Linked DNA regions of Mus musculus. The protein of the gene in region 1 interacts with the protein of each later gene in a biochemical or structural test. Links are inferred from orthologs where the notes say so. Each region holds a gene or a part of one and is shown on either strand. Other genes may lie near its edges. The genes, in order: Cd2bp2, Cd2 and Prpf6.

Region 1 (4,256 bases):
TTTGCCCCCCTCTGTGTCACATGGTGGCTCAAGCAACCTTGAAGTGCTACCAAGTTTATACTTCACCTAAAAGCTACAGAAGCTACTGCAGGGGGGCGAGGGGTAGAAAAATCAGACTATGGAAGAAGAGAATGCATGTTTAAGAGAATCTCTCAATAGGATTTCAAGGTCTTCCCAATGTCCCAGCTACAAGGGAGCTGCCAGGACAGAGCATTTGAGGTCCTAAAAGTCAAAGATCAGCAGAACAGGGACTTGCAAGGGAGACTGGAGAAAAGAGTGATGGAGGGAATTTTACACAGCAAGTAGAAGTTGTCTACGTAGGAAAGTCACAGGACATCTGATGGGCCCTACCTCTGCCTCCAAGGGTGGGAAAAAAAACTGAGGTGGTCCAAGACACCAGAGAGAAGCAAGTGAGGAAGTCTCTCGGGAAGAAACGCTCAGGGACCTACCAGGTGAAGCCAAAAGGAGCTATGGAGAAGCCCTGGCTCTTGGCCATCGCACAGTCAAGGCTTTTATTGGGAAACAATGGCTTTAAAGTGGCCTCCAATATCCTCACTGCCCAGAGCAGCTGGGGCTTCCTCTGCCAAGTTCAAGAAAGAAGGGGCTGCCGTGCCGCATGGGGCCCTTAGCGGGCTCACGTGTACAGCTCAAAATCAATGCGCTTGGAGTTGTAGAACTGGCCGCCCGGAGGGTCCAGCTTCCGACAATAAACACCATCCGGGAAGTAACCTTCACTCACCCACGTCTGTAAGAACAGAGGACAGAACTCAGGCAAGCTGACAGAAGGTGGGCTGGACAGATGGGACAGACGCGGCAGGGGGCAGCTCACCTGCATCTGGGCACTGGTGAAGGGTCCATACAGCTCGGCGTCCCCCGTGTTCTCCCATTTATACTCCCACATCACATCCATCAGGCCATCTCCTGCTGACTCTGCCTCTAACACAATGAACGATACTTGGGCCTCAAGCACTCAGTCTCCAGCCCACACTGCCCCCCACCCGTGCCCTCCAAACTTACCCTCTCTTTGGGTAGGGGTTGGGGTTTCCAGTTCACCCTCTGCTACTTCCTCAGCAAACATGTCCAGGGAGGGTGGAGGTGTGGGGTCATGGGATCCCTGGGCCCGACACCCCAAACCCTTCAGTCGCATAGCCAACCGTTCCCTTGTTTCCTGGTACACACCAAGGTTGCCTCGTGCCACCATTTGGTCAGCTAACCCAGACAGCCGGTCTAGCCGCTGGGGGGAATTGGGCCGTCCAGTCCCCTTGCTGTTGCTCCCTTTGCCTCCTCCTCGGGCCCCCAGCCGCCTAAGGGCCCCAGCCACTGTCTCTCTTGGCAACAACAACTCCAAAAGTCCCTCCAGGAGTGCTTGGGCGCTCATTGGAGTCTGACCCAGGCTGTCTTCCTCCTCCGAGTCTGAAACCTGGTGCTTATCAGGGGGCCGTTCCTTGATCCTCACCTACAAGGAAAAGATAATTAGAATTTCTTACAAACTTCCACCAGGGCCCAGGCCCTGCACCTGCACTCCCAGGCCTCAGCCAGAATAGTCCCTGGGCCACACCCAGTCAATGTTGTCCAGCCAGCTGTCTCGGATCTGCGCATCCTGGTTCAGGAAGTAGTTGCCATCAGCATCAAAGTGGCCTTCCTCCATCTCTTCCTGCAGGTTGAAGGGTGTGATCCTCACACCGCCCTCACTAGGGAGAGTAGCTGCTTCCTGACCTGCACCGAAGACATTGGGGGTGGGGCATGCTAGACACGCAAAAGGGAAGCAGGCACACCTCCCACCTCCATCCTGAAGGCTTGTCCCCCCAACTCAGTTAACGCTTCGGACATAGCTCACCTTCTACATCCTCTGAGGCCAGGATATCATATTTGCTGGACCCTTCCTCATCATCATCCTCTTCATCACTGTCTAAAGAGTGCTTGCCTTTGAAGCGGCTCCCAGGACCACCTGCTGCAGCCACAGGGTCCACCAGCTGTGAGGAGGCCGAAGCAAATGAGAAATGCAGCCAACTGGGTAGTTCCCCAGATACTCCAGGATCTGTACACAAATCTTTCCAAACCCAGTGCGCCGGGGAAAACTAACACTTCCTTGGCTTCCCGGCTTTCCTCCCATCAGATTTCTCCTTCTTCTTTCCTCTCAGTCCTCCACGGAAATTCGAAATCTGGCCATCTCACCTTCTTTTTGGGCACACTGATTTCATCTTCACCATCCTCATCTCCAACACCCTGAAAAGTCACTTTCCTCTTTGGCATGATTGGCTGTGGATTTCCTCCAGCTGGACCTCGGAAAAAGATATGTAGTGAGGAAGTGAGGTAAGGAGAGAGGACCGCGGGGGAGTGCAGGGGCCACCAACATTTTTCCTGGTAAATGTGAGCGAGGACAGATCGCTAAAGCATCTGAGAGAACTAGCAGGCACGACGTCCGGGGTTGGTTGGGCAATTCTGAGGCCCGGAGGAGAGGCGATGGGAAGGATCTCCGCCCCCGCGTGGACCCTGCGGGTATTCCCACCCGGGGATGGGGAGTCAGGTTCCCCTACGTCACCACTCCCCTACCAGTCCGGAGCTACCGAACTCAACCACCTCTCCCACCCGAGTGCTCACAGAGGCCGGTCGGACCCAAGAGCTGGAGCTGCCTAGATCCCCGAATACCACGTAGCGACCTGCTCGGCCATGTCCTTGGCGTACAAACTAAAGGCGAAGCAAACCCGCGGGGATTCAAACAATCTTACCCGCCGGTGCTCACCTAGGAACCCAGGGTCAGGCGGGGAAGAAAAGGAAAGATGCTTTCGCCGGTATTACATCCGGGGCACCCGCCTTCATCACCCGGAAAAAAACCGTGGAGACCGGCATAGGACCCGGAAGTGGCTTCACTTCTATTCAAAAAGGGCGGATGCATACCATTAGCCAAGGCCGACTCGCGGCAGGAAGTGACGCAAGACCTGCAAAGACTCGCGTGAACTACGTCCTTGCCTCACGGGACTTGAGGATGGCGGGAAATGTTTTATTATTCCTCTACGATGGAGGCTACAGTGAGGATAAGGACGTGGTGTGCTAAGAGGTTCCCAAGGCCTGGATGGAGAGGCACAGGCCGAACAGAGGCTTCGGGCTTCCGTTTGCATGTATGGATAGGGTTCTGTACGCCTAGTGGCCTTCAGTAGACACCCGGGCTTCCGATCTTAACGCAGTCCCAACACTCGGGAAATTGAAACAGGATTGATTGTCGCGAGATTGACGACAGTCTGGGATACAACATGAGACCGTCTATTTTTAAAGAAAGTCTTGCTCTTCTCTCTGAGTCCTGCTTCTGATTATAAGCGCTCGGGCACCTTCCAAACCAAGCCCTTTTAGAACCCAGGAGTCATTTGCACCATGTCTATTCTCCCACTTAATTCCTAGTTTCTGTAGCGGGACAACCATCACAGGAGGTGCCACTGGCTTCCGTCCGTGGCCTGTAACCAGGCAGAAGCCCATCAGTTACACGAAGCCTACCTCATCCCTTAGCAAACTGCCAAAGGGCTGGGATCCAGCTCCTGCAAAGCTGGGGCCAGGTGAGATCTTCCCCAATAGTGAGGTTTAGATCTGGAGCTCTGGGGAACAACTCAAACCTCAACGCCTCCACCCCCGTCCCCACCCTCGGCTAAATAGCTCCGGTGATCCTACTAGAGTTGGAAGAGGGCAGCCAGATGGACCACGCCTTTCTCCTCCAGGGTTTTCTCCCATTGTGAATCATGAAACTTCACTTCTGTGGGTACAGAACACAAGTTCTAGACCAGGAGGGCATCTTGCTACAGACAGGACCCTGAAGAAAGCAGCTCTCAGCACTGCTGGTTCATCCGGAGGGGGTTTTCTCTACCTGGAGACCACACACCCTGATCCCCTTTCTGCTGAGAAGTGCCAAGTGGAGCTTTACGGCCACAGAAGCCCACACCTTTATCATCCTGACCCGGAGTAGAGGGTGTGTGGCAAAGATCTAGCCACAGAAAACAAGAGCTGCGCAGTTTGGTTGTGTGTACCTGCTGGGATGAACCCCAGGCAGTTAGTCTACCCTAGACGCCCAGGGAACTGCACCAAGCTGCTGACCAAGAACCCAGCCCAATCTAAAGATGGTGGTTTTGCACACACTCTCAGGCCCCTCCTTCAGCTTCCAGGGGGCTGAAGCCATTGGAAAGGCGATCCCAGTCCTGCAAGCTGTGCAGAGGATCCCAGGAGGCCAGTGAGAGTGGGAGCAGCAGAATCCAGGCAAAGCTGAGGAGGAA
Region 2 (4,200 bases), on another chromosome or scaffold:
TTGCAAATATCTTGGCTTGACTTCTCACACATTTAATAGCTCTTTGTACATGCATAGATTCTAGATTTTTATGTGGCCTCTAACGTCCATCTTTACTATTTCTGAATTGTGCAATACATATAGGAAGATTTTCCATACTCAAGAATAGGAATTCTTTTATGTTTCCTGTTAAGTCTTATTTCACTTGGATTTTTCCCCCCTTGGAATTAATATTTTAACTCAACTGAAATGCACTGTTGTGGCTGTTGTTAAGCATCTGAAATGGAAAAACCGTGATTTTGAAGACCTTTTCTCACTGAATTCTAAAGAATCAAAAGACTATATGTTCACTGTATCTCTTGCTCACGTGACCTCTCTGTTGTCTTTTTAGGGACATTAGTCCTTGTATCCCTGTTCACTATTTTTTTATAGTCTTAGGACAAGAGAGATATCTTGGTACTTAAGAGCTCAGGCTGCTCTTCCGGAAGACCCAGGTTTTATTCCCAGCACCCACGAGGCAGCTCACAACCATCTGTAACTTAAATTCCAGGAGATCGATGGACTCCTCTGGCCTCTTCAGGCATGGCGTTCATGGGTGTTGCAGTCACTTTTCAATGGCTGTGACAAACCATCATGACCAAGGCAACTTAGAGAAGGAAGAATCTACTGTGCTCTTACAGGTCCATGGCCAGCATGGCCGGGAGTATGGCAGCAGGCATGAAGCATAGCGCTGGAGCAGTAGCTGGGGGGGTTTTACATTCCTATCCACAGCAGGAGACAGACAGATAGACAGAGTGGGGAAGGGGAGAGGGAAGAGAGAGAGAGAGAGAGAGAGAGAGCTAACAGGACCACAAGGGCTTTAAAGATTTCTAAGCCTACCCTCAGTGACGCACCTCCAACAAGGCCACGCCTCCCAATCCTTCCCAAATATACATATCTGAATTCTATTCCTATGACCTTTTGCCGGTGAGTCTACTTGGTCCTGTTGAAGGCAGCACAGCTGAGTGGCCAGCTATGTTTAAGCCCTTGTTTACAAAAGGGTAGCTATGGCAACTGACCTCCCAGTTCCTCTTCTTCCTCTGGTGGGGTGCTAAAACCCAACACCCTAAGCTGTTTTTGTAAAGATTAAAATGTGACACAGACACCTATTTCGGTTAAGGAGGGCAGCAAATGCATGAGTCGTTTTGATAGGGTCTCTGTCTCTCTCTCTCTCCTTCCCCATCTCTACCTCTCCCTCTCCCCCTCCCCCTCCCCTACTGTGAACAGCAGGCATGAAAGACACGTGGTTCAGGTTGCTGGGTGTGGCTTCTGCCAGCCTCACCACAGTCCTGACAGAAAGAACTCAGAGTCACCCCTGGGAAAAGAACTCTAAAGATGAAATGTAAATTCCTGGGTAGCTTCTTTCTGCTCTTCAGCCTTTCCGGCAAAGGTAAGCATTCGCGTGGAGCTCTTCCGGAGACCTTGGAGTGGACATTAGAGGCGAAGAGGGAGATCCTCCGTAGTCCCGAGACCTCAGAAACCATCTTACTTTTTTACAGGGGCGGACTGCAGAGACAATGAGACCATCTGGGGTGTCTTGGGTCATGGCATCACCCTGAACATCCCCAACTTTCAAATGACTGATGATATTGATGAGGTGCGATGGGTAAGGAGGGGCACCCTGGTCGCAGAGTTTAAAAGGAAGAAGCCACCTTTTTTGATATCAGAAACGTATGAGGTCTTAGCAAACGGATCCCTGAAGATAAAGAAGCCGATGATGAGAAACGACAGTGGCACCTATAATGTAATGGTGTATGGCACAAATGGGATGACTAGGCTGGAGAAGGACCTGGACGTGAGGATTCTGGGTAAGTCTCCATTCCCTAAAGGTTTTCATTTTAGGACGGCTGCTATGTAGAAAGTTGGGGAGCAGCCTTTCTGTAGCATCCCCATCCAATGTTACCTGTGTGGCCCACAATGAAGACTCCAGTGGGTGAGGGTGGCTCTAAAGCCTGTCTGCCTTTCATTCTCTCTTTGGGTGGCTGTGGGGTTGTACAAAGACTCCCAGGTGACAGACAGGCATTAATCAGAAAGAAGACAGGTTAGCAGAGAAAAGACATGGACATCCTTGGTGGCCGATGAAGCTGTAGCTAGACAGGATGTCAGAGGGTGCCTAGGAGCAGTGAGCCTCTTGTCTGGAGAGCTATGTTTAAGCCAGGGTATGATGAGAGGGCATGATACTGAAGAGCAACAGGAGAAGACCAACCAGGAGTCCTCTCCTGTCATCCAAGCGAAGCCAAGCAGGTGGTCTTAGTCTTGGTGAGAACCAGCAAGTGAGCTGTAAGAAGTGACTCATGCCCAGGCTCCTGGCAGCATGGAGTATGTGTGCCAGTGGGATCTATAGCGTTCCAAGAGCTTCTAGTGAGAAGAGTTGTCATTGATAGTCATTGGCCTGGAGTAAAGGGTGCCAGGGAGATGAGGAAGGGTGCAAACATGCCGGGTGTGGGGGTGAGGAGGAAGTGAAGAAGCTTGGGTGGGTGAGAAAGAAGAAAACGAAGCCTGGGATGCTGTCGAAGCTGAAAGTCCAGGGACAAACTGGCAGCTCACACCAATGGGTGAGAGGAGAAAGCCTGCCCTTGGCTTGCGGAGAAAGCTGAGAATGCCTTGTGCAGAATAGATCAGCCATTCAGGGAGCACACAAACATTCTGAGCTTCACACAGGAAATGTCACTATAGAAAGGGCTCCCCTCATCCCCCCGTGGGTGTCCTTCCTGTCCAATACTCAGCACCTGGGCCTAACACCAACCTCTCTCCAGGGCCCCCTGTTAGCTCCTCTGTGCACAACTCTTCCCAGACCCAAATCCTGTAACTTTATCTAGAGAGAATGTCCCAGAAACGGGGTGGGAATGAGAACGACCACTCATCGTATCGAACCCTGTATAGCCTATTCATGTACTCTGTCACTGCGGTGACCATGGCTACTGGAGAGAAGTCAGGTGCTTGTTAGGTAGCCTGGTTTTCTTTGGCAATCCTGAGAACTTTAAATTACAAGCTTCTATCCACCTATAAGGAAACGGGCCTGGCCAGAAGTGGCCGTGTTCTCACTGTTAGACAGGAACAAGGTCAGGCCTTCCCTTGACAAGGATGGTGATATCCCAAACAAGCTCATTGGTATACAATTCACATACCACACAGTTTGCCCGTTTGCCGTGCGCAGTTCAACAGCTTTCTGCATAGTCACAGAGTTACGCGGTTACCACCATAGGCAACATTTTCCCTACCCCCCTCAAAGGAAACCCATACCCTCCGACTAACAGCGGTGGCTTCACTACTGTATGCAAATGCCAAGGTCACACAATACGCTGACTCAACTTGAGGACCTGTCCCCACTATATACGACTATATATTACGCAGCATTGGAAAATTGTCCTCTGACCCACCCCAAGCCTGATTACCCAGTGCAGGTTGTGTATCACTTACTTAATGAGTTTGAGATTAGAAGTGTTTAGGATTGGGGCTTTTGGAAGATTTCAAAATGTGTGTGTGTGTGTGTGTGTGTGTGTGTGTGTGTTCTTGGAGATGGGACCTAAATGTAAACACAACATTCATCCATGCATTATATATACACGTCATACACACTATTCAAGACTAATTTTAAATAGTATTATGTAGGAAACAAGGTCTCACAGCATGAGAATTTCCATGTGTGGTACTGAGTTGTGGCTTGACAGATTTCGGAACATATCAGATTTGTCTACTAGGATGTTCATGAGGCCTATACTATCCAATGAGGTGTGTCATGAGTTGTGAGTGTAACGGTGTCCTATGTGTTCCTAGATTTTACTTTCCCTTATTGGGCAGAACAGTTCAGGGTCCCTAGACTCCTGTGGGGGAGAGAAGCCCAAGATTAAGGAGTCATATCTAGCCGGAAAGTACTGGTCCATGCCTTTAATCTTAGCTCTTGAGAGGCAAAGGCATTTGGATCTCTGTGAGTTAGGGTCCAGCCTGGTCTACAGAGCTAGCTCCAGGACAGCCAGGGTTACCCAGAGAAACTCTGTCTTGAAAAACCAAAGGGGGTGGGGGACAAAGGCATATCTAAGATCGACCCTCTCAAGCAGTCCAGGTCACTTTCAGAAAGCCATTTTACAGGGAAAATATCTACAGAAGGATGCTGGTTACTGTGTCTGCATGAGTTAAGTACAAGCGTGCATTTGAAAGCTTTAGCAGCTTAAGTAGGATTGC
Region 3 (2,989 bases), on another chromosome or scaffold:
CTGATCCACTGCATTCATTCAGTCAAAAGAAGAAACCACTACAGCTTGATGCTGTAGTCAAGTTCTTTGCCCTTCATCTGTGAAGGAACTCCTGGGTATGGTCCCTCATCAAAGGAAACCCCATGGATATCTCCATAGAAATGCCCATGCAGCTCTCTTAAGATACTCCTCGGGACAGAAGCAAGAAGTACTTCCCCAAATCAGCACACAAGTAGCCTGCTAAGCATCAATCAATCAATCAATCAGCAGGTTCTGCTCCTGTCCTTGACTGCAGAAGAGTGAGCTCACACCTTCCAAGTTAAGCAAAGGTGCCTGCCTCAGGTGGCTACGGAACAATGGAGACTTCTACAAGCCTTTCAATCTTTTATAGCTTGGTCCCCATGTGACTTTCAGTCTCTTGTATCACAGATCTGTGACAGAGCCTGTATTTTCCATATAGCCTGTACTCTTAACATCTCCACAAAAATCTCAGCAAGCCCTCAATACCCAGCTATGCTTTTATCTGGAGCACATAAGCACTTGTAGGAGGCTCCATCCAAACCAGACTAGACTTGACCATCATTCATGGGGAATAGACGCTAAGGACAAAACAGAAAAACAAGTGAGGCCCAAGCCCCAACATAACTCTATAAAAACCTTTAATGAGTAAAAGACAGTGTAGGGTTTGTGCCCATTGTCCATGTGTTGCTCCTATTGTCACCCCTCCTATCAGAAGGTATTTTTGATGCGGGCGGCCACCAGGACTAGGATTTCCCCAATCTTCCTCTGCCAGTTGGTGATATCCTTGGACACAGCACACCACAGCTCTCCATGTCGGGGCTCTGCATTCTCACAGCGTTTCCTCACCTCCTCCTGTTGCTCCTGGGGAGACGAAAGGGTGCTTTAGGTGGGTTCCTTGTGAGGTTTACGTCTTGTGAGGTACAGGTCTTGCCTGTCTCCTTGTAGATCTGGCCCCAGCAGATTTTAAGCCATCTCCTTCTCTTGTGGAACATGCCCTCATAGTCAGTGCATCTCTGTGTTGAATCGTGTCAGACTCCCTATTTTTTGATTCCCGCAAGTTGCCAGATGCACTCTCTGAACTAGGTACTTCCTGGATTCAATGTGGTCTAGCCACTACTTCTAACGAGGACCCCAGGACACCCTGGTCCCCCTGCCTTATAAGCATGGTTCCAACAAAGCTCAACAGGGGAGGAGCTCCTAGTCTTGGCCACTTCCTGCCTCTCCTTCCCCAGGGATTAGATGGAGCTTTCTACTGTCTCAGGAATAGCTAGGGAAGCAGGCAGATTACCACTGCACACCAGTGTGCTAGTGTAGCCTCACCTCAGTTCCATGCTGCAGTTCAAATTTGTAGAAGAAGGCCCAGGCATCCCCCAGATCTGAGTCAATCTTCACAGTGCGATGGAACCACTCCCGAGCCTTGGTGATCTTTCTTTCACTCCAGAACAACCTGTTGTGGGAGAGCAAGGGACATAGAATAGTGTCTACCATGCTTGGGAGTCATTCTACGTAGGTGATCAGCTGTACCCTGCTCCTGGTAAGACCAACAATCCTAGAAATATGTTATAGAAAAGGTCTGAGTCATGGTTCAGGGCTCCCTGGAGGTCATTCCAGATCCTTCACTGATCCACAGTGTTTTTTAGAATATTTATACACAGTGAGATCTTAATTTCTCCTTTTTATTTTTTTTTTATTTTTTTCAAGATAGGGTTTCTCTATGTAACCATCTTGGCTGTCCTGGGATTCATACTGTAGACCAGGCTGGTCTGGAAGTCACAGAGATCTGCCTGTCTCTGCTTCCTGAGTGCTGGGGTTAAAGGCATGCACTATCACCTCCACCAGGCTAGATCTTAACTTCTTAAAACTATCTGGGCCAAATGAAATTTGAAACTAACCTTGACAAACATTAATTAAGGCAGATTTAAAAAACAAAACCTGAAAACTCAGACTGCTCCTTAATAAGATACCAACCCTACACTATTAACCTCCCTTGAAGCAGATTTAAAACACAAAAAAAACAAGACCTGAAAACTCAGACTGCTCCTTAATAAGATACCAACCCTACACTATTAACCTCCCTTGTCTACCCCTCGTAGCAACCTAAGCAAACACAAAGATCAGCTTCCACATGTCAGTTCTGGGGACCTGGGACACCCAGACCATAGCACATGATTGTTGTACCTGACACAGACACTTGAATAGAAATCCGAAGGGAAGTCTGGCAGGAAGCCAAGAACTGGACTGTTAGAGACTAACTTAGAAGTGAGGCATGGTGCAGGTCTTTAATCCCAGCACCCAGGAAGCAAAGGCAGGTGGATCTCTGAGTTCAAGGCCTGTCGGTCTACATAGAGAAACCCTGTCCCAGAAAAATAAAACAACAACATAAAAGAAACCAACTTAGGGTCGCATGGCACCCCCCACCCCCACATAGTTACTGTAGTATAGCAGGGTGTACAACAGGGAGGGTGGCATGGAATGCTGTGGGGATCACTCTGGCAGGGCCAGGACTTGGGACTGTATTCACCTGGTCTTGGTGAGGCAGCTGGTGCACAGCTAACCTTTCCACTGCAGGCAGCTGTGTGGGCTGCTTTCAGGACCAAGTGGAGTAATTTCATGCTGATAACTTGATTGTTTTTTAAGCCATATAGTACTCTTAATTGCCCAGTGTTAGATAAACTGTAATTTAAAGAACATAAACTCAAGATAGGAGGCACATGGAACACTGGCTTGGGAACAGCAAGGAGTGACTTATTTACTTTAATAAAGCTCTTTGTAAGGTTTATGGCTGCTCTGGCTGAGGGCATACAGAAGTTACTCTGGGAAAGGGAAGCCTAAGCTAGCAAGGCTGGGACCTAAAACCTTGGCCATCTGCTAGGGCTACAGACACTACAGAGGTGCCAGGTAGCAATGTGAAGGTAGTTGCACCAGAATCTGAACACTCAATGCCACTTAAAACCAAATTGGTCTAAGGCTCTGTCTCCACCAGTGGCAC

What was found.
Region 2: the proteins of Cd2bp2 (region 1) and Cd2 interact in a biophysical measurement, tested with the Homo sapiens proteins (6 studies listed by BioGRID and IntAct, with this or other methods). The link is inferred for Mus musculus from reciprocal best matches to the Homo sapiens genes CD2BP2 and CD2.
Region 3: the proteins of Cd2bp2 (region 1) and Prpf6 form a complex in vitro, tested with the Homo sapiens proteins (2 studies listed by BioGRID and IntAct). The link is inferred for Mus musculus from reciprocal best matches to the Homo sapiens genes CD2BP2 and PRPF6.

What each region holds. Positions count from the first base shown.
Region 1 is NC_000073.6:127,193,186-127,197,441, forward strand, and holds the start of Cd2bp2 (CD2 antigen cytoplasmic tail-binding protein 2), read right to left. Parts: upstream 2,893-4,256; 5' UTR 2,744-2,892; exon of another isoform or gene 2,277-2,743; 5' UTR 2,254-2,276; coding exon 2,176-2,253; intron 1,974-2,175; coding exon 1,838-1,973; intron 1,717-1,837; coding exon 1,559-1,716; intron 1,457-1,558; coding exon 1,018-1,456; intron 937-1,017; coding exon 830-936; intron 746-829; coding exon 635-745; 3' UTR 1-634. UniProt on the Homo sapiens protein: Involved in pre-mRNA splicing as component of the U5 snRNP complex that is involved in spliceosome assembly.
Region 2 is NC_000069.6:101,285,033-101,289,232, reverse strand, and holds the start of Cd2 (T-cell surface antigen CD2 precursor), read left to right. Parts: upstream 1-1,293; 5' UTR 1,294-1,353; coding exon 1,354-1,408; intron 1,409-1,517; coding exon 1,518-1,826; intron 1,827-4,200. UniProt on the Homo sapiens protein: CD2 interacts with lymphocyte function-associated antigen CD58 (LFA-3) and CD48/BCM1 to mediate adhesion between T-cells and other cell types. CD2 is implicated in the triggering of T-cells, the cytoplasmic domain is implicated in the signaling function.
Region 3 is NC_000068.7:181,653,294-181,656,282, reverse strand, and holds the end of Prpf6 (pre-mRNA-processing factor 6), read right to left. Parts: intron 1,448-2,989; coding exon 1,321-1,447; intron 862-1,320; coding exon 709-861; 3' UTR 622-708; downstream 1-621. UniProt on the Homo sapiens protein: Involved in pre-mRNA splicing as component of the U4/U6-U5 tri-snRNP complex, one of the building blocks of the spliceosome.